Linked DNA regions of Drosophila melanogaster. The protein of the gene in region 1 interacts with the protein of each later gene in a pairwise test. Each region holds a gene or a part of one and is shown on either strand. Other genes may lie near its edges.

Evidence for each region.
Region 2: the proteins of HHEX (region 1) and Osi6 interact in a two-hybrid assay, tested with the Drosophila melanogaster proteins (one large-scale study listed by BioGRID).
Region 3: the proteins of HHEX (region 1) and Rab3 interact in a two-hybrid assay, tested with the Drosophila melanogaster proteins (one large-scale study listed by BioGRID).
Region 4: the proteins of HHEX (region 1) and yin interact in a two-hybrid assay, tested with the Drosophila melanogaster proteins (one large-scale study listed by BioGRID).

The regions. Positions count from the first base shown.
Region 1 is NT_033777.3:21,076,349-21,082,933, reverse strand, and holds HHEX (hematopoietically expressed homeobox), read left to right. Parts: upstream 1-2,007; 5' UTR 2,008-2,250; coding exon 2,251-2,740; intron 2,741-5,538; coding exon 5,539-6,020; 3' UTR 6,021-6,072; downstream 6,073-6,585. Other genes in the region: dmrt93B (doublesex-Mab related 93B), read right to left, coding at 6,136-6,336.
Region 2 is NT_033777.3:6,233,167-6,237,700, reverse strand, and holds Osi6 (osiris 6), read right to left. Parts: upstream 2,994-4,534; 5' UTR 2,966-2,993; coding exon 2,747-2,965; intron 2,119-2,746; coding exon 1,399-2,118; 3' UTR 520-1,398; downstream 1-519.
Region 3 is NT_033778.4:10,726,155-10,730,708, forward strand, and holds the start of Rab3 (Rab3), read right to left. Parts: upstream 3,050-4,554; 5' UTR 2,451-3,049; intron 1,119-2,450; exon of another isoform or gene 906-1,118; coding exon of another isoform or gene 1-905. Other genes in the region: CAH13 (carbonic anhydrase 13), read left to right, coding at 1-905; Daao1 (D-amino acid oxidase 1), read right to left, coding at 3,485-4,034, 4,104-4,249, 4,331-4,454, 4,520-4,554. UniProt on the Drosophila melanogaster protein: Involved in exocytosis by regulating a late step in synaptic vesicle fusion. Could play a role in neurotransmitter release by regulating membrane flow in the nerve terminal.
Region 4 is NC_004354.4:3,868,915-3,873,851, forward strand, and holds the start of yin (yin), read right to left. Parts: upstream 3,026-4,937; 5' UTR 2,957-3,025; intron 1,631-2,956; exon of another isoform or gene 1,404-1,630; intron 1,313-1,403; exon of another isoform or gene 1,039-1,312; intron 905-1,038; exon of another isoform or gene 901-904; 5' UTR 851-900; coding exon 745-850; exon of another isoform or gene 689-744; coding exon 603-688; exon of another isoform or gene 585-602; intron 266-584; exon of another isoform or gene 59-265; intron 1-58. UniProt on the Drosophila melanogaster protein: Important role in absorption of dietary peptides. High-affinity transporter of alanylalanine. Dipeptide transport activity is proton dependent.

The DNA.
Region 1 (6,585 bases):
AAGTTATAAATGTAAAATGAAGTTGGAAACAATATCGACATCTTGTCATCGAAACACATGCCCATTGGAGGGGATTACAAATTCAGCCGGTTCTTTCTTTGCTGTTATTAATGCGTGCCACAATTATTTATGCCCAATTTCGAAGTCATTTCAAACCGTTTGTCTCCTGATAATTGCTAATAATTTAGCCTCACTTGACGACCATAAGCCCCCCAGGCCATGGCTTCTTATCGAGCAGTAGGCCTCGTCAATGTCTCGAATTGGTCGCATTTAGTTATCGCATAGCACCGAAAAACGATTTTATTTTTATCACCATTCACCATTCATTATTAACTATTCATTATTATGTTATAATTTGTTTCTGTAAAGTACAAAATACTTTTTGAATGGTCATTACTTACCATTGAGAGCTTCCTTCTGACCAACCATCAGACCCCCGAATACTCTATTCGAACCATTCATGTTGATAAATTTGAATACTCACCTTGTGATATGTCACAAAATGGCCGTCAGTTGGGTTTTTCGGGTGCAAAACGTTATATCGATGGGATTTTGTCGGGGATCACACAACTGACTATCAGTTAGCAGAGCAACAAGTGTCTGCTCATGATGAAGCGTCGAAGTGATATGTCCGGGGATTACAAGTGCACTCGGTAGCATGTTGTATGGGCTTCCTTTCCTTCATATCTTGGAAAGCAGGCTTTGCATAAATTAGTTTCCTAAATGTTTTAATCTCTTTTTCAGTCAAGGTGCTTTCCATTAAGGTATATCAATTATTATGCGAACAGAAACATAAAATATAATATATGTATGATGTTCAAAGAGTTATTTTTAAAATTTTGATGTCATAAAATTTTAATCACCAATCGATTGACTGTAGTTTACTGCCCCTTTTCAACGAAGAACCCCCGAAAATTCTATTTGCAATTCATTAAATCACTTTTCAGCGAATCATATCAAAAGAAATAGGTTTATTGCCAAATATCACATGAATTTGAGTCATTGTCATATGTAGTGAAGTCATACAGTTTCGATTGAACTCCTGCCAATTTAAAGTAGTCACCATTTAGCAAAATCACAAAACTTGAAGAACTTTTAACTCTTTACTTTCTACTCATCGTGTGAACCGAAGACATGATAACATCCTTTCCACCAGCGGAAACTAAAGATTTTCATTGTTCCCGAAACTCGTCGAGGCCCAAAACTTATCTCGAAGGTACCAATTTCTGGGGCGACCTGAAAAACAACATCAAAGGGGTATCTATCAGTAACAATAACAACAATTAAAGGCATTTATGGGCTGTGCGTTTTCCATTTTATCACCCGGCCCAAGCCGAAATCAAAAGTAATCCATCATCTGAGAGGCTTTACGAGGAGCCCGAGTACAACTGATAAGACACCCCGAAACACCTATCCATGCCCCAGGTATACAGACGCATATATTGTTCCCAAAGAGCAGAGAGGGACGGCACCATGGCCGAAATCATAACACAAACTCGATTACTCAATCAAAGCGATGGCTCTCTGATGGTGTTGGTAGGGGGTAGGGTGGGGGGTGCCTTTTGGGGCAATTTTAATTTGTTTACAACAACAATCAACAGAGTAAAATAGCCAAACAGTAGCTGAGAGCTGAAACCAGGTAACGATACCGATAAGGGGTGATTAACAATTACTCGATCAAACGCACCGACCCGCCGAGTGGGAGGCGTTCTGGGGGAGGGTGGTTGGGTGGTTGGGTGGTGGGTTCGATGGGTTGGCAGCTCAATAAGCGGGCGAGCAGGGACTGTGATTTATACAACGATCGCCGATTGGGTGTCCAACCGCGTACCGATGTCGAGCTGTCGCCGCCTGCAATTGGAAATTGGAATATGGGTATTGGGTATTGGGAATAGGAATCGAGTGGAGTGGAGTGGAGTGCCATCGAGGCAGTGGAGCGCCTAACCAACCACCACTCGCTTATCAATCGATGGCCGGTAGCTCGGCACTATCTCCCATGCGCGGCATATCTACATACCGCTCTATTATTGTTAATATTGATATCTACCCATTAGCACAACATTATAGGTACAATCTATTATATTCTGTGAAATCAGATTTGGTACAATTTATAGCGCCCATGGGCTCTGCGACGGCTCCTACAGCTGGTGGCCATTAGTTCATCGCCTGCGGCCGACGCAGTCGCTTCGATCGCTCCGGACCCAATCAATCGGTATCTACAGTTCGTTACTACCGCTCTCAGAATCCACCAATATGGATATCGCCACCAAGTCCAGCAAGGCCGCCTTCTCCATTGAGAATATCTTGGAGCAGAAGAGCTCCTCGCATCGATCTCAATCGCGCAGAGGCTCCTCTCAAAGTCCCGTGGCGGTAACAGCAGGCATAGCTACTCCACACGCACTGGCCATGCCCAAGGCATCCTTGGCCACTGGATCATCCTCCGCGGCGCCTACACCCTCTCCATCGTCCGCCACCAACATCTACGATCTATCCCGCGAGGCAGCTGCCGCCCAGTATGCCATGAAGAGTATGGACTCCAGTGCTGTCCTGGCTCCCACTTCGCTGCGCTTCAATCCCATCTACCCGGATCCCGCCTCGCTCTTCTACCAGCAGGTGCTGCAGCTCCAGAAGAATCCCTCGCTCTTCATGCCCCACTTCCAGGCGGCCGCTGTTGCCGCCGCAGCCGCTGTTCAGCCAACAGCCTATTGTGATCAATACAGTCCATTTACCATGGACTGCGAAGGTGAGTACTTCAGAATACCTACTTAGTGGGGTTAACATGTATTTTAGTTGGGTGTTGAATGTCCTAAAAGATAAAGATTCATTTTCAAGATAATTGCTTAATTTTTGTGGTAATTTATGATAAATCATTCACTAAAATAAGGGTGCATGAGGAGAAGACATTACAAATTTATTATAAAGTTATGGTATTTCCACAGAGCTATAGAAAAGGTATAGAAATGAAATATTAAATTATATGCAATCTAATCTCAGCAAATTCAAAAGATTGTAAAGCAGTTATAAGGCCAAGAAGTATAGTATATTTATTCGACATTATGAATGAAGACAATACAGCATTTCTTTATTAAAAAAAATTCTAGAATAAGATCAAAATTATTCAATTATTCGAGCTGTATACATACATGCAAACGCAGTTGAAACCCTTAGGTCAAGTTATTGACAAGCTCATAAAATAATTGACTAATATATTAATTAATGCGGTTTTGAGAAATCTATTAGCCCAATGATGTCTATCAACAATTTAGTCGTTTGACCTCATTAGCATATTTCATCATACTATCAAATGACCGGAAATGAGTCACCTGAATATGAATGAATAAGCGCTACAATTATCAATTAAACACTAAAATGCAGATAAAGGCAGAAGCATTCTCAGAGTATGATATGTTAAATCCCTATTCTTAAATTCTTATTCATGAAGCTTGGAACCATAGTTTCTATTAGACTTTCTCACAGTTTTTAGCAAAGACTAGGATTGATTCGACACTACCAAGTTCAAGTCATTGAACCTACCCATGCTGACACCTTAATCTCGCTCATCAAGTTGACACATGGAAATTGATCGCCATGGGAAAGGTGTTGCCTGAAATCCCCATTTAAATACCAAATATCTAAGCTAGCCTAAGTCCGAAGTGCCCGGACCACCGAATATTACAATGGGGATCCCACACAAAATGGGCCATAAACATGATTAATGTGTGTGTGTTGTGGTGCAGTTGGGTATTTGTCAAAGTCAAGTGTTGGCGCCAATGCCACTCGAAATCACATTTTCCCCGCCCCAAAAACTGCATTTCCCGGTTGGTTTTCTGGGCGGTGGTGTAACGGTAGATTAGCCCTAGCAATGCTGATAAAGTCAAAGTCCCGAATTCCATCCCCTCGCAGTACAAATGCCCCATTCAGATCGGAAAATATTTCGGTGGCTTATCAGAAGTGACAAATATTTGAAATTCAGGTGAGAGACAGCAGAAACTATATCTATGGATATTTAAGTGACAGTTAGTTTTCATTGAAAGGCATTGAGCTGTTGATTTGGGAAAATCGAGCTGCTGCGAATTAGACGGACTGTGAGAAATCATACTCATTTAAACCTTTGGATAACACACAATTATCACAGGCAGTATCTTTCGATATAATTGTAGTGAAATAGGAAGGAATCAATACAACATTATAGTGGAATGGAATATCTAAGTGCACCTTTCTGTTCCCAATATGCCCGTCTTGAGGATATATCTATGATGAGTCCAACTGAGTTAGGATCATACTACGCCTCAAAAAAAAAAAAGGAGTATTGATTAGCTTGCTCTATGCCATACTGATCACACAATGCAGATAGGAGTATCGTCGTGTATAGGGCACTTCAACTGTACTGCTATCCCGATTTCCGATTTGTTTGGCTTATCTAAACAAAAATGCTATTAGAGGCGATTAATAGGCGCTGTCCATCATCTTATAGCCACGATTGCCATTTGATTACGATAAGCCCGTCCGTTCCCGACACTCGTTCCACCTGGACAAGGGGCAAATGGTTAGGGGCGGAGGCGGGTGTGGTGGTGTTGGCGACAAGTACCTGATATGATATTATTCCTTCAATCGGACACGCACATTATAAAATAATAACAAATCCAATTTTCAGCGATTAAATGCCGCTGGGAAGAAGATAAGGGTGCTCTGCGGCCTTATCACTCCCGAATACGCCACTTAATAAAAATAAACATGAATAAGTCTATTTGTAACGATTTAAATTATGGCATCTGCAATCGGATGTTATTTATTTAATGGCATTTGGCCATTTCCAAGGGTTCTTGGCCAGATCGCCTCACCAATGAGGTAACTGGGTCCCCAAATATCAGCTTAGTTCAGCGATGGAGCACACTCCAAATATGCGCCAAGTGCGAATTTCCGTTACCTTAACTAAAAAAAAAAAAAGAGGCCACCTTCCTTATCACATAGGTGTATGTACATAGGTGCAGATAGGTTCGCAATCGGATTGCCGTTCGGGTGCCAATTGATTTCGCCCAATTGCTACGAAATCTCGGCGTACAGTCGATCCATTTCGCAATGGCCACCATTCGCAAGTCGTCATCCAGTTACAAGTGGGCGTTGACATATTCTCCGATACTGATACAACACCCATACACTTGTACCACTCGCAATTGTTGTGTCCGATTACTTTGATAAGAGCGGGTGGGCGGAGATAGGGAAAACCGGGCCAATGGAGCCACCAATCACAATCCAATGATTGCGCCACTTTATATCGGGCAGATGGTTCAAAATCGTTATTCAAAGAAATCGATTGTCCTCGACTTTTTCATGGCAGCTTTTGATAAACTCTGAAGTGGGTCTATAATGTCATTAGTTCTTTAATTAAGATCGTATTAACAATGAAATATTTAGTTTAAATATTTCTCATCTGATATAGGAAACCCTTGTTCACAAAGTGAAGTGTTAACAATAAGTTAGTTCTGTAACCTCTTCAGCAATTGTAATCTAAAACAAACTGTCTTCCTTTTTAATCCATAGGATTCCCCAATCCTGCCTCCGCTGCAGCCGCCCTCTACTGCAATGCCTATCCGGCGGCCAGCTTCTACATGTCGAACTTCGGCGTGAAGCGAAAAGGCGGCCAGATCAGATTCACCTCCCAGCAGACCAAAAATCTCGAGGCTCGCTTCGCCAGCTCCAAGTACCTGTCGCCGGAGGAACGGCGTCATCTGGCCCTCCAACTCAAGCTGACCGACCGCCAGGTGAAGACCTGGTTTCAGAACCGGCGCGCCAAGTGGCGACGAGCCAATCTCAGCAAGCGCAGTGCATCCGCCCAAGGACCCATAGCAGGCGCTGCCGTGGGATCACCCTCCAGCGCCTCGAGCAGCAGTGTTCCCGTGTTGAATCTTGGCAGCGGAAGCAGGTGTGGCCAACAAAGCGACGAGGAGGATCGGATGTATCTGTCCGAGGACGATGAGGACGACGACGAAGACGAAGGCGAGGCGGATGAGACGCCCAAGTGAAGCTAGAGGATGGCCCATTGACTCATAAGTTAGTTTAGCTTGTAGTTAGGATAAATAAATTTATTTTATTAGAACTATAGTTATGCGAGTTAGTAAGTACTAGATGGGTGGTCTCCTAGTGGAACTGGTAGCTGTCCAAGCAGGCGCAATTGGGCAAGGTGCATCTTGGCGCCAGATTGGAGAGGTGACCCATGGTCACCGGAAAGGATAGCGGCACAAACCACTTGGGGTACGCACAAATGGCCGCTGCCGCCGCCGCTGATGCACTGCCTCCAAAGACCGGCGGCTTTAGCTCCACCACCGATTTGCTCTGGTACTGAAAGGTAAGATTTTGTATGTACTTAAATAAATATTTCATTAGGTACTTCCTACTTCCATGGACCACGCAAATCGTGACTTGATTGAATTCTGGAAGCGGAAATACAGACCGTTGAACTTAAGTAAAAACACAAAACACCTGTTACAGATTTGCTGTATACTATAGAATATAATACTATAGAAATAACCGGTATATTCACTTAAGTACACTTATAACTAAAAGGTACTTTATACAATTTGCACTATG
Region 2 (4,534 bases), about 15 Mb from region 1:
GGCCCGAAATGAAGTTGTAAACTGCGGTAGAAGCAGAACCAAGCAGTTGTGTGCTGAGCAAGCAAATCAAACAACGAAACGCCAACCAACCGGCCCCAATGATCATAGAAAAGTGCTTTTAAGCCATTCGGCGACACATTAATTGCTGACGTATTTGTGCACGAAGAAAGCCAATAGGCAGTCAATGTGCACAGCATCCATGAGCCAGCCCCCAAAGTGGGTCATATTCATAAGTAAAGCACCTATCGGCCCATCAGCCATCAGCGGCTGTAAAGTGCCGTTCTGCCAACCGGCAACTGCAGTTCAGTTCAGTTCATTTCAGTTCAGTTACTTAGGCTCAATTGAGCCGGGCCCATTTCGACGGCGTTTACAACTTTCTTTGGGCCAAAAGGTGCTAAGCGTCGCCTAACAATGGGGCTCCGTCAGGTGGAGAAATATTAAAATACAATACGATGGTGCCCCGCCTTGAATGAACCGAAATGCGCGTAGCTAAATGTTTGTTTTATTTTTCAGCAAATTGCCTTTGTTCATATGTGCCTTTGTTCACAGTGAAAATGGAGTTTACCAGAAGCAGAAGAGTGGAAGTGAAATAAGTGGGTGAAATTTAGAAACCCCATAAAGAGTTCGATTTTTGGAGGCTGATAGCAGGAAGAATGAGGCGGGTAAAAGTGAAATGAAAGTTGCGCCATCCACGTGCAAATGCTTTGCTAGACAACGCGGCGTATGAGTGATGCTGTCGAGGGCTGTGATGGCGAGTTGCGTATGCAAACCGAAATGAAAATTGTGTGGTGATGAGAAAAGAGAGTCGTGTTGGTAAAGTATTTTTTATGTTTGAATTATTATTTGATTCTTTGATTTAGCAGCATTCGGTTGGTCTTTCCCGGGCGGTAAAGTGAGAAAGTCCAGATAGTCAGACAGATATGGATAGACAGATAGGTAGATAGATTAAGGTAGAGGTACAGATAGAGATAGTCGTAGAACAGAGATAGATGGAAACAGATGAGAGATAGATACAGTTAGATGGGCGAGGCGACTGGCTTTGACTGATGGATCGACTAGTCGCAAAGATTTGCAGTCCATTTATCAAAGGTGCAGCCATGAAATTGAGATACAGCGTGAAGAGTGAGGAGTGCGGAAAGTAGTAAAGATTCCTTTGTGGAGGTTATTGGCGGTTCTGGATGAAAGGTGGTGTTTGGTGTTTGGGTGTGTCTTGTTATTAAGTGATTGTTTTTTTGTCTAATGGAAGGCACTTTGTTCGTCTCGTACTTCTCGTTCAAGTAATAAATTAAAATAAATAATTTATAAATAAATATAAATATAGGTCATCATTTTTAGCGATTGTTTCTCTCTCTCTCCTTGGCCTTCGTCCTTCGGTTAATTTGGCTCTTGACCAATTGTTTACCGGCGGGCCTGCTTGTATCCCTGGTAGGCGATGGTCTGGGCCACAGGCGAGCTGTAGGCACCATGGGTGTCCCAACCCGAGCTGCCGCCAGAGGACCATCCGGCGCTGGAGGCACCACCACCCGAGGACCATCCACCGGTGCTGGCAGCCGACGATCCACCGGCGTTCTTGCCGCCGAAGAGACCTCCCAGACCGCCGAGCAGACCGCCGCCGCCTCCGGATCCACCGATGCGTCCCAGTCCGCTGGAAGCACCAGCAGCCAGAGCCAGGAAGAAGGCGATAACAGACACAACCAGTGCCTTCTTGGCCAGGAACAGTAGTCCGAAGATGGAGCCGACTCCAAGGACGGCGATCTTAGCACCAACTCCCAGCAGGATGGGCAGGAACTTCTTCAGCAGCTTCTTCTTGCGGGTACGGGACTCAACAACCAGCTCGCGGAGATCAGCCTTGATGTCATCGGGAATGGCGCGGGCCACGCTGCGAGCGGCGTTAGCGAAGTTGAAGTTCAGGGAGCGTTCAGCGAAGAAGCTCTTGGCGTTGTCCATGAAGTAGTTGCCCATCTCGGCGGTGCGGGCCTCCACGGTGGGAGCGGCCTCAACAGCCAGGGAGTTGTCCAGGGACTTGCCCTGACGACCTTCATTGGACTTCACCAGAGAAACACCACCGAAAAGCTCGATCTGAGGGTTATCGAACACGGACTTGGCCTTGCGGAAGAGCTGTGGAGGAGGTAGTGGGGTTTCGAATTAGAGCGAACTGTAATAAACTGTGATCTAAAGTCTAAAATATTGGTCATTGAGGATATGTTTGATTGATTGTTATAATTATATGACTTCATGTGTATGTAAATAAGTGGCTAAGGAAGAATTTAGTTGTGAGTGAAATTTAAAATAATTTCTTAGTTTGCAAGTAAGGGAAAATTTGTTGTTATCAACTGTTTTTAGATTTTAGAATTTTAGAATAGAATTTCGATGATATATTTTTAGCTCGGAAATATAAAAGAGATGTGCTTAGAGCAGCTGGCAAGTCTAAAAAACACTTTTAAGTGGTAATGTTGTTTTCACATCTTCCTGTCAGGTGTCAATTGTGTTTGGCAAACTACACACTCTTTTCAAAATTGATTATTGCGAAATAGTTGCAGCTTGACAGGAAGCTGTAAAGAAACTGTTTTTCACTTTCACTTCAATAGTATCCTTTAGATCACATGGGACAACACGTAATCGGTGATCTATTGATTTTTTGGTTTCACTTTCACTGTTAAGCATCTTTGCAATTGTTCTCGATTGTGCTTTGATCTTTCGTTTTGTAATAGGGGTATATAATCCTTAGGGCCTAGATAATCCGTACCGTGAGCTGCAGGCACGAGATGGAGTCGGACTCGAGGCACTGGGCAAAGGCGCCGGGCTGCTCCTCAGCGGCCTTGACGGGATCGGCAGAGATACCTGCTGCCAGGAGCAGGATGCAGGCGGTGGCAACGAAGAACTTCATGCTGGTGGCTGGGTTGGTGGATTGGTGATTTCTGAGACTGAATTCCTTTGGCACCACCGAAATCACTGGTGTGTTCATTCGAATGGAACAAGCTGCGGTTTGATAACTTTTCGCCGCTGTCAGGCTGTTTTTAAAGAGTTTCCAACGTAGCGGTCGCCTCGGCAGCGGCATAACGTAAAATTATGTAAAAAGCGCCGGTGCCCACACATACAGCTAGGGTCTCCGTCGCCGAAGAGCCTGAGCCCTCTTCCACACGTGTCTGCGTGCTCTTTCTGGCATTTTGACTCTGCGAAGACGGCAGCTGCCCTCTCTTTCTGACCGCAGCGCTGCCTCTCTTTCTCAGCAGCCTCCGAGCTTAGAAGCCGCATTAGGCAAGCGCAGGCAGAGCTTTGTCTGCTTCCGCATTAAAGAAAGTCGCTGCGCATGAGCATGCGAAGACGAGTCTTCTTCGTCTTCGGTCGACGTCAGCGCAGGCAGCAGGGCTGTTGAATGTGAGAGCACGAGAAAGTTTCCATCGGAGAGCCAAAGCCAAGGTTGTTCGTCTTCTCTCCCCCACACACTCATACACATGCGCGCATCACACACACACACAGCGAAGAGACCCCTGAAGACGCATCTTCCCGCAGAGTCTTCTGCCCATCTCCTCGAACAAACGCACGCAGACAAAGAGGTGTAGTTTCTTCTGGAGCCTCACAGATTACAACACATGAAGTGATAAACAGGTGCTGCGCAGGTTAACCCTCCACACACCCCGACTCTTAACCCGTGGATGCCGGGCCAGCCCCCCCCCCCTCCGCCATAATATGTGTCATATATTCTTCTGGATTTTGTTAATTTTTTGAACGCTTTTGTTTTTTGGGCACTTTGCCGCAAGAAATGAAAGTTGTCTGTATAATATTTTCATACTACTGTTATTTCTGGCCCTTGGTCTGTATGTCATCTCCGTTTAATACCCCCCGTCGACCCGGTATCACCGAAAATAGTTATGTTTACCGCATGTGCGCGTCTTGAAATTACTTTTTATTTTCGTGACTTTATTGTGGTTCTGTTTTTATTGCGCAACATAAAGTGTGATATATAATGACAGTTATTTAACCAGGACAGGGTCTGGAAACAGGATATCTGGGAGCCGGGATCTAGGGCCAGATAGGCACGTCCTACTCGGGACTTTTCCTTCGGGCAGTTCGAGTACTCAGGTGAAAACACCTCTGCGGGCATAATCATAAGGAACGGCCTGACTCGGCAATTGTGACACATTAGTCAACAATTTGAGCTTAGCAAAAGTGCAAATAACAGCTCGCTTCAATTGCTCAAGTGAAATGAAAGAGAAATTACACGAAAAGCAAACAAAAACGGATGCGCACAAGACGCCAGATACCCACAGATGATGGACTACTGCACTTGGCGAAATCATCACATAGTTGCTGTATTTTAGCGAAATTTACTTGATTTGTTTTATCAAGCTGTCAAAAATAAGTAAATTGATGGAATTACAGTAAGTTCTGATAAGCTTTTAATAGCATATTAAATTGGCATTATACAGTAAAGATGACACAAACTTATTCTGCGTCCGCGACGCTAGAATCTGCAATCAATGATCCAATGATCCTTTACTATACATAATTAAAACTCAAATTCCATATAGAA
Region 3 (4,554 bases), on another chromosome or scaffold:
TCGGATACGTCTTTGAGCTATCCGCGCACAATCCGTTCCTGGATCCCCTGGTGCAGAATTTGCGATTGGTTCAGAAGCCTGGAAAGCGTGTCCAGATTTCTCCATTTCCCATATCCTACTTGATGTATCAATTTCGATCTGGATTCTATTCCTACGGCGGTTCGCTGACCCATCCGCCCTGTTACCAGGGCACCGAATGGTTCATCTTTCCCGAATCCCTAGCCATTAGCGACTTTCAGCTGCGTCACTTTCGTTTGCTCCTAGGTCCGGATGGGATCTCGCCCATAGCCCGTAACAGCCGACCAGTCCAGCACATGGGCAATCGAGTTGTAAGCCTAAACTGCTTCTGCCCATACGATGCCGCCCAGTTGTCCAGAATGCATGTGGAGCTATGCCAGGCTCAAGCTCAGGAGGAGCACGAAGAGGAACGTATCGAGCAGGAGCAGCAATTGGAACTAGAGCGCGAACTGGAGCGGCAAAGGGAAAGCGACTTGAAAGCTCAGCAGGAGCAAGCAAGCGAGGCGGCCATCGCTGCTTCCGAGGATGAAGGTCAGCTAATTGAGACCATAGATACCACGACCATAATAACTAGTAGCAGCAACACTAGCATATGCATGACTACGCTGATGCGGAAGGATTCGCCTAGGCAACTGGAACAGCCATCTCAGATGCCTATGATGGCTCCCAATCAGGGTAACTTTTGCAATCCTGGCATTGTGATATTCAGCGGTGTCAATGAATCCAAGTCCAAGTGCGGCATCCATCAGGATACACCGGAGGAGCTAATGATCCATAACAGAGGAACGGGAAGAAACATGGGTGTACAGAATGGCTGCAAGGCCGATGCCTTTTGCGGCGTGGGCGATGGCGTCAACATCGGAATTCGCATGGAGCTGGTCGAGTAGCTAATGTGCTATTATCAACCTTTATGTCATCCATAGACACTCCATTTGTGGTCCATGCTGCACGAAGAACCGGTGGGGCTAGATGGTGCACATGAAACACCGGTCAAGGCCAACTGGTGGCCAACCGGAGTTCTCTCTGTGCCCGGAAGTGATTGAATCGCGTGCGTGTGGATTAAACAAGTTGCGTTTATATTTTCTAAAGCATAACCCCCCAATTCCCTTGACTTTTAATCCTTGGAGTAGGCGGGAGGGGTTGGCTTTAGCGGCCTGACTTGGGAAAGGACCCACTTGATTATCCCTGTCACGTCACTGGGAAAACTCAAAGCGAATTTCAGAGCTGAACGGCGGGTTGGTGGGCTGGTGGGCTGGTGCGGCCTTGAAAACTTTCAGCCTTGGCTTGGGCAAGTGACAACAGTCTCGGCTTACAGTTTGCCATTCGGGATGGTTGGCTGCCTGTTTTCCATATGCAATGAAGGCGGCGACATTGTGTCGATAATTTGTGTATATAGCCTGGTTCTCCTGGTTCCGTTTCCGCTCATCCTTATTTCCCCCGTCCAGAATCAGAAGTTGCGCAGCGGCAAAACGCTGTCAGATTGCTGATGAACGACTTGGTGTAGAAGGACCGAGTGCGCGCGTCATCGTCAAGGATTTTGCTGGCAAAAGGACAGGCTTCGCTCCTGTCAAGCCTCTTCAGGCCCAGAAATATCCTGGAGGGGCCCGAACCCAAACCCAAACCCAAACCCAAACGCAGACACCAAAGAGGGGCCGCAATAAGAGGTCTTCAACGGCAGACGGCCCTTATCACAGGCGCTGTGTGGAAATGTTTTTATCTGCTCGACTGCGTGTAATTATCGATTTTTCTGTTGTTTTCCCCCTGCGTGGGGGTGGCTGCCAGACCCTGCCCCCATTACCCACCCCCTTAACTGCTCTTTCATGTTTCAAATTTCCAATGATTTGGCAGCTGTTCAGCGGTCGGCAGCTGCGGGCTTGTTTAATTATTGATAAGAAACCCAATATTGGCCAAAACGAGAACTCAATCCTGCCTTAACGGTTCCAATTGGAAAAGTTTCAATTTAAGGTTTGTTGTCAAACGTAAATATTAGGCATGTGCATAAATACCGAGTTATCAATCAATGGGAATAAACAATTAACTCTTTCCTGGAAGTTGTAAAACTACATATGTATTATTTGGCCACATTCATATGTATGTATAGCCCATATCTATTGTCAATAAGATATGATACACTAAGCTGAAATCCATCAGAAGTTTTTTTGGAACTACTATAAAAGTAACATTGAGTTATTAAATACCTTTTAAATACTTTTAAAAAGTTGATGTGTAATCTTTATAATGTCAAAATCAATGAAGTTTAATGTAAAAATAATAAATTCCAACCAACGGCCTCATTATTTGACAATATGGAACTGATACTGCAAAGTTTTTGATGCGAAAACTCAGGTATTTTGGTTTTAGCTGGAACTAGTACCCCCATTCACCCATTTTGGTCCATCATGGCGGATACTTAATGTGTCAGATAAACTTACTCTTTCTTGAGGTTATTGCGGTTACAGTAGTATCTGCTGCTAATATCTCAGTTGCTGTTTATGATGGTGCTGCTGCAGATCCTGCTGTCACAAGAATATCCTGCTGTTTTCGATGTGTGGGTGAGAGGTACGCCGTGTTGTTGCTCGCACATACACACAAATCGATAATGGCAGCTCCTTTCGCTGAAGGGATAAGGAAAAGGACTCGACTCAGCCTTGGCACTGGACTGACATACGCCGCGATTTCACGTCGATTGATTCGTCGAGTTGTTTACGGTTACCCAATCAACTATTCACACGCCCGCGGACCCACTCGTCTGGCCAGAATTGAACTGACTCCGGCTGCAGTGGCTCAATTATTCAGCAAATGCAACGCACCAACTGTTCTACCTTTTTGCCTCGACACGTCGACACCAAAGGACACACAATTTTCAATTTTTTCTTCGCTCTCAGGCGGCGAATTGACTGGTGCGGCGAAAACGGGCCAGTTTTGTATACGTTTTCATAATTCAACTGTTTCAACCTGGCTGACTGGCTGGCTAACTGACTGACTGGATGACTGGCTGCTGCCCACACAATTTCCCTGCTGCTTTTCCTGCTGCTGAAAATCGATGGGTTTCCGTGCCTGGGGTGTCTGTGTGTGGGCGTAGCTTTCGCGGCGATTTCGGGCGAGCTTTCCATTCATGCGCCGGTCATGCGCACTTCGCACTTCCGCAGCCTTGTGGAGCACTGGCCCAGGGGTTCATTTGAATTTATTCGTGGGCGCGAATTTATTCGTTCACTTTGTGAACCCATGTTCTTATCCTGAAACAATATAGACCAAGGAACTCATAAAAACAGTAAATAAAATTTATAAGAATTGTTTCTTTAAATATTCTAAATATTCCTTCTTGAAACCTTTGGAACTGGCGCATATCGCAACCTTGAGAACTGCAATTAGTTTATTGCACAATAAAAAATCCAAATCAAATCTGGGTTCAAAGATTCTGAGTATAAAGAGTTTAATGACCAACAATTAACAACGATTTTACCACCTACAGTTTACTGTTTCCCGCTAGTAGATCGCGTACCAATCGAACTGCGTACATAGCCGTTCCAGGAGCCGTGGTCACACCGTAGCCGCCGTGGCCGTAGTTGTGGACTACCTTCAGCCGCCTGCCTTCCGGATTCGTGATCAGTTCTGGCTCCACCCGAACGACGGAGCGGTGTGGCCGCAGACCAACACATTCCCGCACGATCTCCGCTTTCCGGAGACTGGGCAGCAAATCGTAGCAACGCTCTCGAATGGCCATGCTATCGTATTTGCACCACTCGGTGTTGTAGCTGTCGAATTGGCGACATCCTCCCAGGGTCACAGTCTCAAATCCGGGAAGAACGTAGGTGTCGTAATCGCCGTAGAAAGCCGTCTTTACCCAGGGAGCACGCACTTTGAGCACTTGACCCCGAATGGGAACCAAGTGCTGGTCCCCACACAACTCCTTGGCTCCCATTCCGGTGCAGTTAAGGAGCAAGTCAATGTTCTGCGGCACTTCGAAAAAGCTGTTCACATGCTGACGGACAACCTCTCCTCCGTTCTCCAGGAATCTACAATATGTTAATATTTACGATTATTTTCAAATTGTTTCTCTTTCATATCATAAAACAGCTACTCACTTTTTAGTGGCATAGGGCAAGAAGAGGCGGCTTTCCGTTAGGCATGTGGTGAAGAAGGATCCGTACTTCCAGCCGCCGTTGCATAGCCTCAGTTCCTCCTCGGTGGCTCTTCGGTAGACGGGCAATAGTTTCTCAATAAAGTGGTTCTAAGGCAGCCAACAACAAAGTTAATCGAATTAAGCCGATGAAGATAAGAATCACTGATTGTCGACTGCCCGGCAACGTACCCGTACGATGGAGGGGGAGGTGCGGGAGTAAATATAGCCGGATAATTGGCACACGCCCGCCAGAGGAGCCTCCTTGGAGCGACGCAGCTCATCCCAGTAGTTGAAGGCATCGGTCATCCATTGTCTACGATGAAAAGAAAAGTCGTTAGATGCACAACAGGTGTGTTTGAATCCCAAACAGATTCTCACTGCGTAATTTTCTGGGTGGGGCCCATAAAGCTGGT
Region 4 (4,937 bases), on another chromosome or scaffold:
GCAGCTGTATTCCTTCTAATTTGTGCGAGCAGTGTTTCCTGTTGTTTCAGAAGGCTTGTGGAATGTGCATCCCTATCGTGCACCCACAGTATTCCAGCTTGTAGCCATTGTTGTGGCAACTGTTTGTCGTTTGGCGTTCTTAAAGAGAGAATATAGTTCTAGAAACCCATATCCTATTTGCGATTTAACGTTATCTTGTGTTATCTGCGCTGAATCTTGTGGTTATCCCCTCGCTTTTCTTTAAGCTGTGCCAATGAGCTGGCAGGTACGGAATCGATCTTATCTCGATCATATTCCTATCCCCTATCTGGCGATTAAACCCCCGGCCGTGCAAAATGGTCGAGTGCCAAGTGCCTGTTATCTATGTTTGTTTTCTTTACGGCTTTGAGTAATTTGTTGGACTTTCCCAGGCAGCCATAAATCTATCCAGCTGTAAATATTTATGGTCCGCATTAGCTATTGTTTCGCGTCGAGATTGCTTAGGTTTTTCACGAAAACGCCGCGCTATACCACAAGATTGCACAGTTCCGGAAATATATAGATACATGTGCCTGAAAGGTTGTCAATTTCGCACTATATTTTAGTCCAGCACTCAGACTCACCGTTTCGAAACCGTTGCGGTCATCTTCGGCGAAGTGGATGTGCTGGAATCGATCATCCCTATCACGAAAGCGGGCAAAGTGCCAAGCTGCAGAAAGTCCATATATATGTGGGTGGTCTTTGGAAAACTGGTGATGCACTTACCGCGACTGAATTCAGAGCTGCTCATCAGGTGACTGGATTCGAAGCTCGAGCTGGATATGGATGTGGCTGTGCTAGAGAATTCGGGATTCCGCTGTCTATGAAGCATGCTTGAGCTGTAGCCTGGATATCTGACAGCTAAGGCAACGGACAATTACCCTAAGTATAACAAATTATTTATTTAGATTATAAATAATTATGGGGGATCTTTATAGTATTATAATATAATATTTAATATAATTGTAATTTTGAAATTGACATGACGTCTTTATATCTTTCATGTACAAATCTAATCAGTTGGGCAAACACTTCATCGCCTATCATCATTGATATCGGACTCCGGACCTTCGAGATCTTGAGATCTATAAGTACCCATATCTGAAGATCGGAGCCCCTTGAAGCACTGCCCTAAGAAACGAGTACGATTGGCTATCTGACTATCTGGCTATCTTAGGCAAGGACATCGTCTATATCTCGCTTTCGCTTCGCCTTTTCAGGCCGATTACTTAATCGGCACAAAGTGCGATTCGGTAAGCCGCGTGCCGAGTTGTGCGATTGGCCCACCTATTAGGTAGGTTGGTAGGTGCGATTTAATCGAAGATACCCTATCGCCGCTTGACCACCAGTTTGCTAATTGATAAGGTCTTAACTGTAATCCCCAGGCTGAGCGAAGAGTTTCTCGCCCAGATACAACGCCATCACAATCCATGGATACGGGATGCATAATAGCTGGCCGGGGATACGAGTACTCGATGTCTGAGTGTGTCAACACGCAACCCGCTCAATCGACACACAGACCCCCAATGCCTTGATGGCTTTAATTAAGTGTTACTCAATCGATCGCATAGCTGGCATTATGAAGACTAGACACCATGCAATCTGTAGCCAAGTAAGTGACAATCGTAAAATCGAAAGCAAGAAGCAAAACAAAAAGTTCACTTGTCGCACAGTCAGGGCCTCTCGTTGAGCAATAATGGTTAACAATAACAATAACAATAACAATGTCGTGCTACGGACTATCGCAGATCGGCCGATTGGCTATGGCCAATAGATGTATTATACTTGTTTCTGGGCATGGCATTAATGATAGGCGGCCATAAATACTATTCGCAGCTATCGACGCAGCGATTAAGTTCATAAAACAAAAATGCCACAAAGTTTTGTGACCACCTCCGATTAGATGCCTATCAAAAGCGGTGAGCCAAACGGGGTTAGATGGTATAGGTTACATTATGGATTTCCTATTTAAGGCGTCGCAGTAAAGTATCCTCAAATTTTCTCATTTCTTCATAAGGGGTTACATAATGAAGATCAGCGAAAATCTACAAATTTCGAAAGTTTCCGGCCTTGAATGCCTATGGATTAGAAATTTCATTACGAGTTCAACGAGATATTGTATTTCAAATAAGGCCAACTATTTCCCATGTTGTTTTTAAAGTACTGTTCTTAAGGTGGCGGAAATCTGAATTATAACTTTTGACAAAAATTCGACATTTAAAAGTGATCTTTTCGCTATAATTTGGTAGTTCGTGCCCAGTTTAGGGTGTTTTCTTTTTAATATTAAAAATAATTGTTGTATTTATTAACCTATCCACCGTTTGAATGACTTATACTTATGACTAATCTGATATGAAGTACGTACGTCTTTTGAAATGCCTGTTTATTTCGCAAAAACTTATTACCGATGTGATAACTTTATCGGCCATAAAACTACTTAATAGATTTGTAATAGTTTATTTTCCTATTACTATCATTTTAAGGAGCTTAAATTAATTTATTGTATTGCTGCCAAAATACTGCCAATCATTTCGGTCTTAAGTTATGTACATACGTATGAACTTTGTTTGCCCACGGAAAAGCGTTGAAAAAGAAAGTCATGTAGCTTGTTAATATGCAAGTCATTAGTATTAAACACTGGACGCGTTGCTCTAAAAATTGTTTGGGTACTTTCTTAAAAATTAAATGGCTGATTAGTTACTTTTCGACCAATATCAGCAAGACATTTGGCTATTTAATAATGATTAATTGCCCGATTAACACACAGTTCAAGCCATTGAAGATTCTGACTCGATCTCCTTACCCTACAAATTTCCTTGGCCATCATTATCTCTTCTATTTTGGCGTTGATTTTTTTTTATCAGCGTATAGACGTAGTAGCTCTTTAAATAATTATCTTTAGACCATATACTAAACTACTTTTCGATTCATGACTTACGGTGGGTAAAGTTGGGAAGCTCCCATCCCTCAGACGTGCAAGTAATGGCCAGAGATAACCGTTTGGTGCGATGAAAATATTTAGTTAATGATGGTGCGCAATCTGCATCGCCCACTATACACAACACAGCAACCACCCACCCACTGACTGATGACAGACGGGGCGTGGCAGGTGTGATAAGCGGAGCAATTGTGATGGACAGCGATCTGTAAATTGACAGGCGGCCAAGGGCGGGGAAGGGTGAAATGTCAAGCAGATATTCCGGTGGGTAGTTGTGGGCCATAAATAACAATCGCGAGAGCTGCGAGCTGCGGCTCCATTCATTGTGGGTAAGCGAACACCGGGCCGTAAATACTTCCACTTGCCTGTCGATACGATAACATTGCGATTAGGCTTATCACCACTACTCGCTCGTTCTAACGCCTTTCGCCATCCTTCGACGTCGAGCAAGCGCGCAGTCGCAGCGGGCAGAGCAGTGCGGCAAAGCGACAAAGCGGCGAGCGGCGAAACCGTCAACGGCTTCTTAGCTAAGTTCGTTCACAGTCGACTTCAGTCTGAGGCTGTTGATCGCCGCTTGCGGACGTGGTCGCTCAATCCTGCTCGATTCATAACCGATTCAAAACCGATCCCATCCGAAACGACGTGCGTTCCAATTTTTTTTTTTTTGCAGTTGTTAAATGTTTTAATGTGAGTTACGAGTGCGCGAATGCAATGGAACAATAAAAGCAATAACGATCCGAAAGCTTCGCCAGAGACAATAAAAGCAATATCAAAACACTGATGTCTATATTATGAAAAGATCTTACGAAACAATAAAATCCTTTTAAAGGCCAATGCAGCAAAATAGGATAAAGTTACCAGAGAAAGAGCTTCCTTTTTTTATACAGTTTGAAAATCAATTTGCAACACAGAAAATCAATTAAAACTATTAATAATCTGAATGAGATATATTTGCGATATTGTTGGTTTAATTAATTATTTCGCAGTGGCAATTGGAAATTTCCCTTAAATATAGCCAATTTGTGGGCTTATTGAACTCCAGACGAGGATCAGTACTTTTTTGCTTTTATTGTCTCTTTTGTCTCTTATTGGAAAAAAATAAACAAAATTTACACGTAATATACATATATGTGCATATATTTTTCGTTAAATTAAAAGAAAGTTGAGTTTATGCATCTTATACATATGCACATTCCTACAACGTAATGATTTTTAAAGTAAATTTAATATTTTTCTTCGATTTCAAGTGACGCGTAACGGATGTGAAGCGATCTCCGGGTTCCCAACATGACGGATAAAAAAAATGGTATTGTTAATTACTAAAAATAACCACAGATGCATAATTATAGTTTTTACAGAGGGGTGGCGATTATACAGACTACTGAACCGAGATTTATGGCCCATATTTTTGTGAGGCTCGAGTTTTACTCATTGTTTCGATTTCTAGACATGCTATATAAGCCACACAAAATACACCTCACCATAGATTGCAATAGTGTTCTTATTTAGTTTATTGCACCTATTTACTTCGATACTCCTCACCCTTCAGTTTTAATCAGTGGCCGTTGGGTAACGTGCAAGTTATAAGAATTGGCGGAATACATCTCCACTTGCCAGTTATGACTCAACGGACGAACGATTTTCAGAACTCCAGGTTCGCAACTACGATAATCGGTTCTCTTGGCCGCGTGTGCAGTTTGCAAATCTAATCGCTCTGATAAGGGACTTTGAGTGACTGGCCCCGGGTTTTAGCCACTTGAGCGGCTCCAACACAAGCAACGAGCAGGTCCAAATGTGGATTTACTTTCGACGGTCCCCAAAAAAGAGCTGCCAAACTTGGTCAATTGGCACGGACCAACCTTGCCTATATACTTGCCTATTCAAATCTCAAAAAATAAATAACTCGACTTGCCTACACCGATGCAAATTTTCCAATTTGTACAACTGTGTGCGCCTGCATTTCAATGTCAGACGCCGGCTT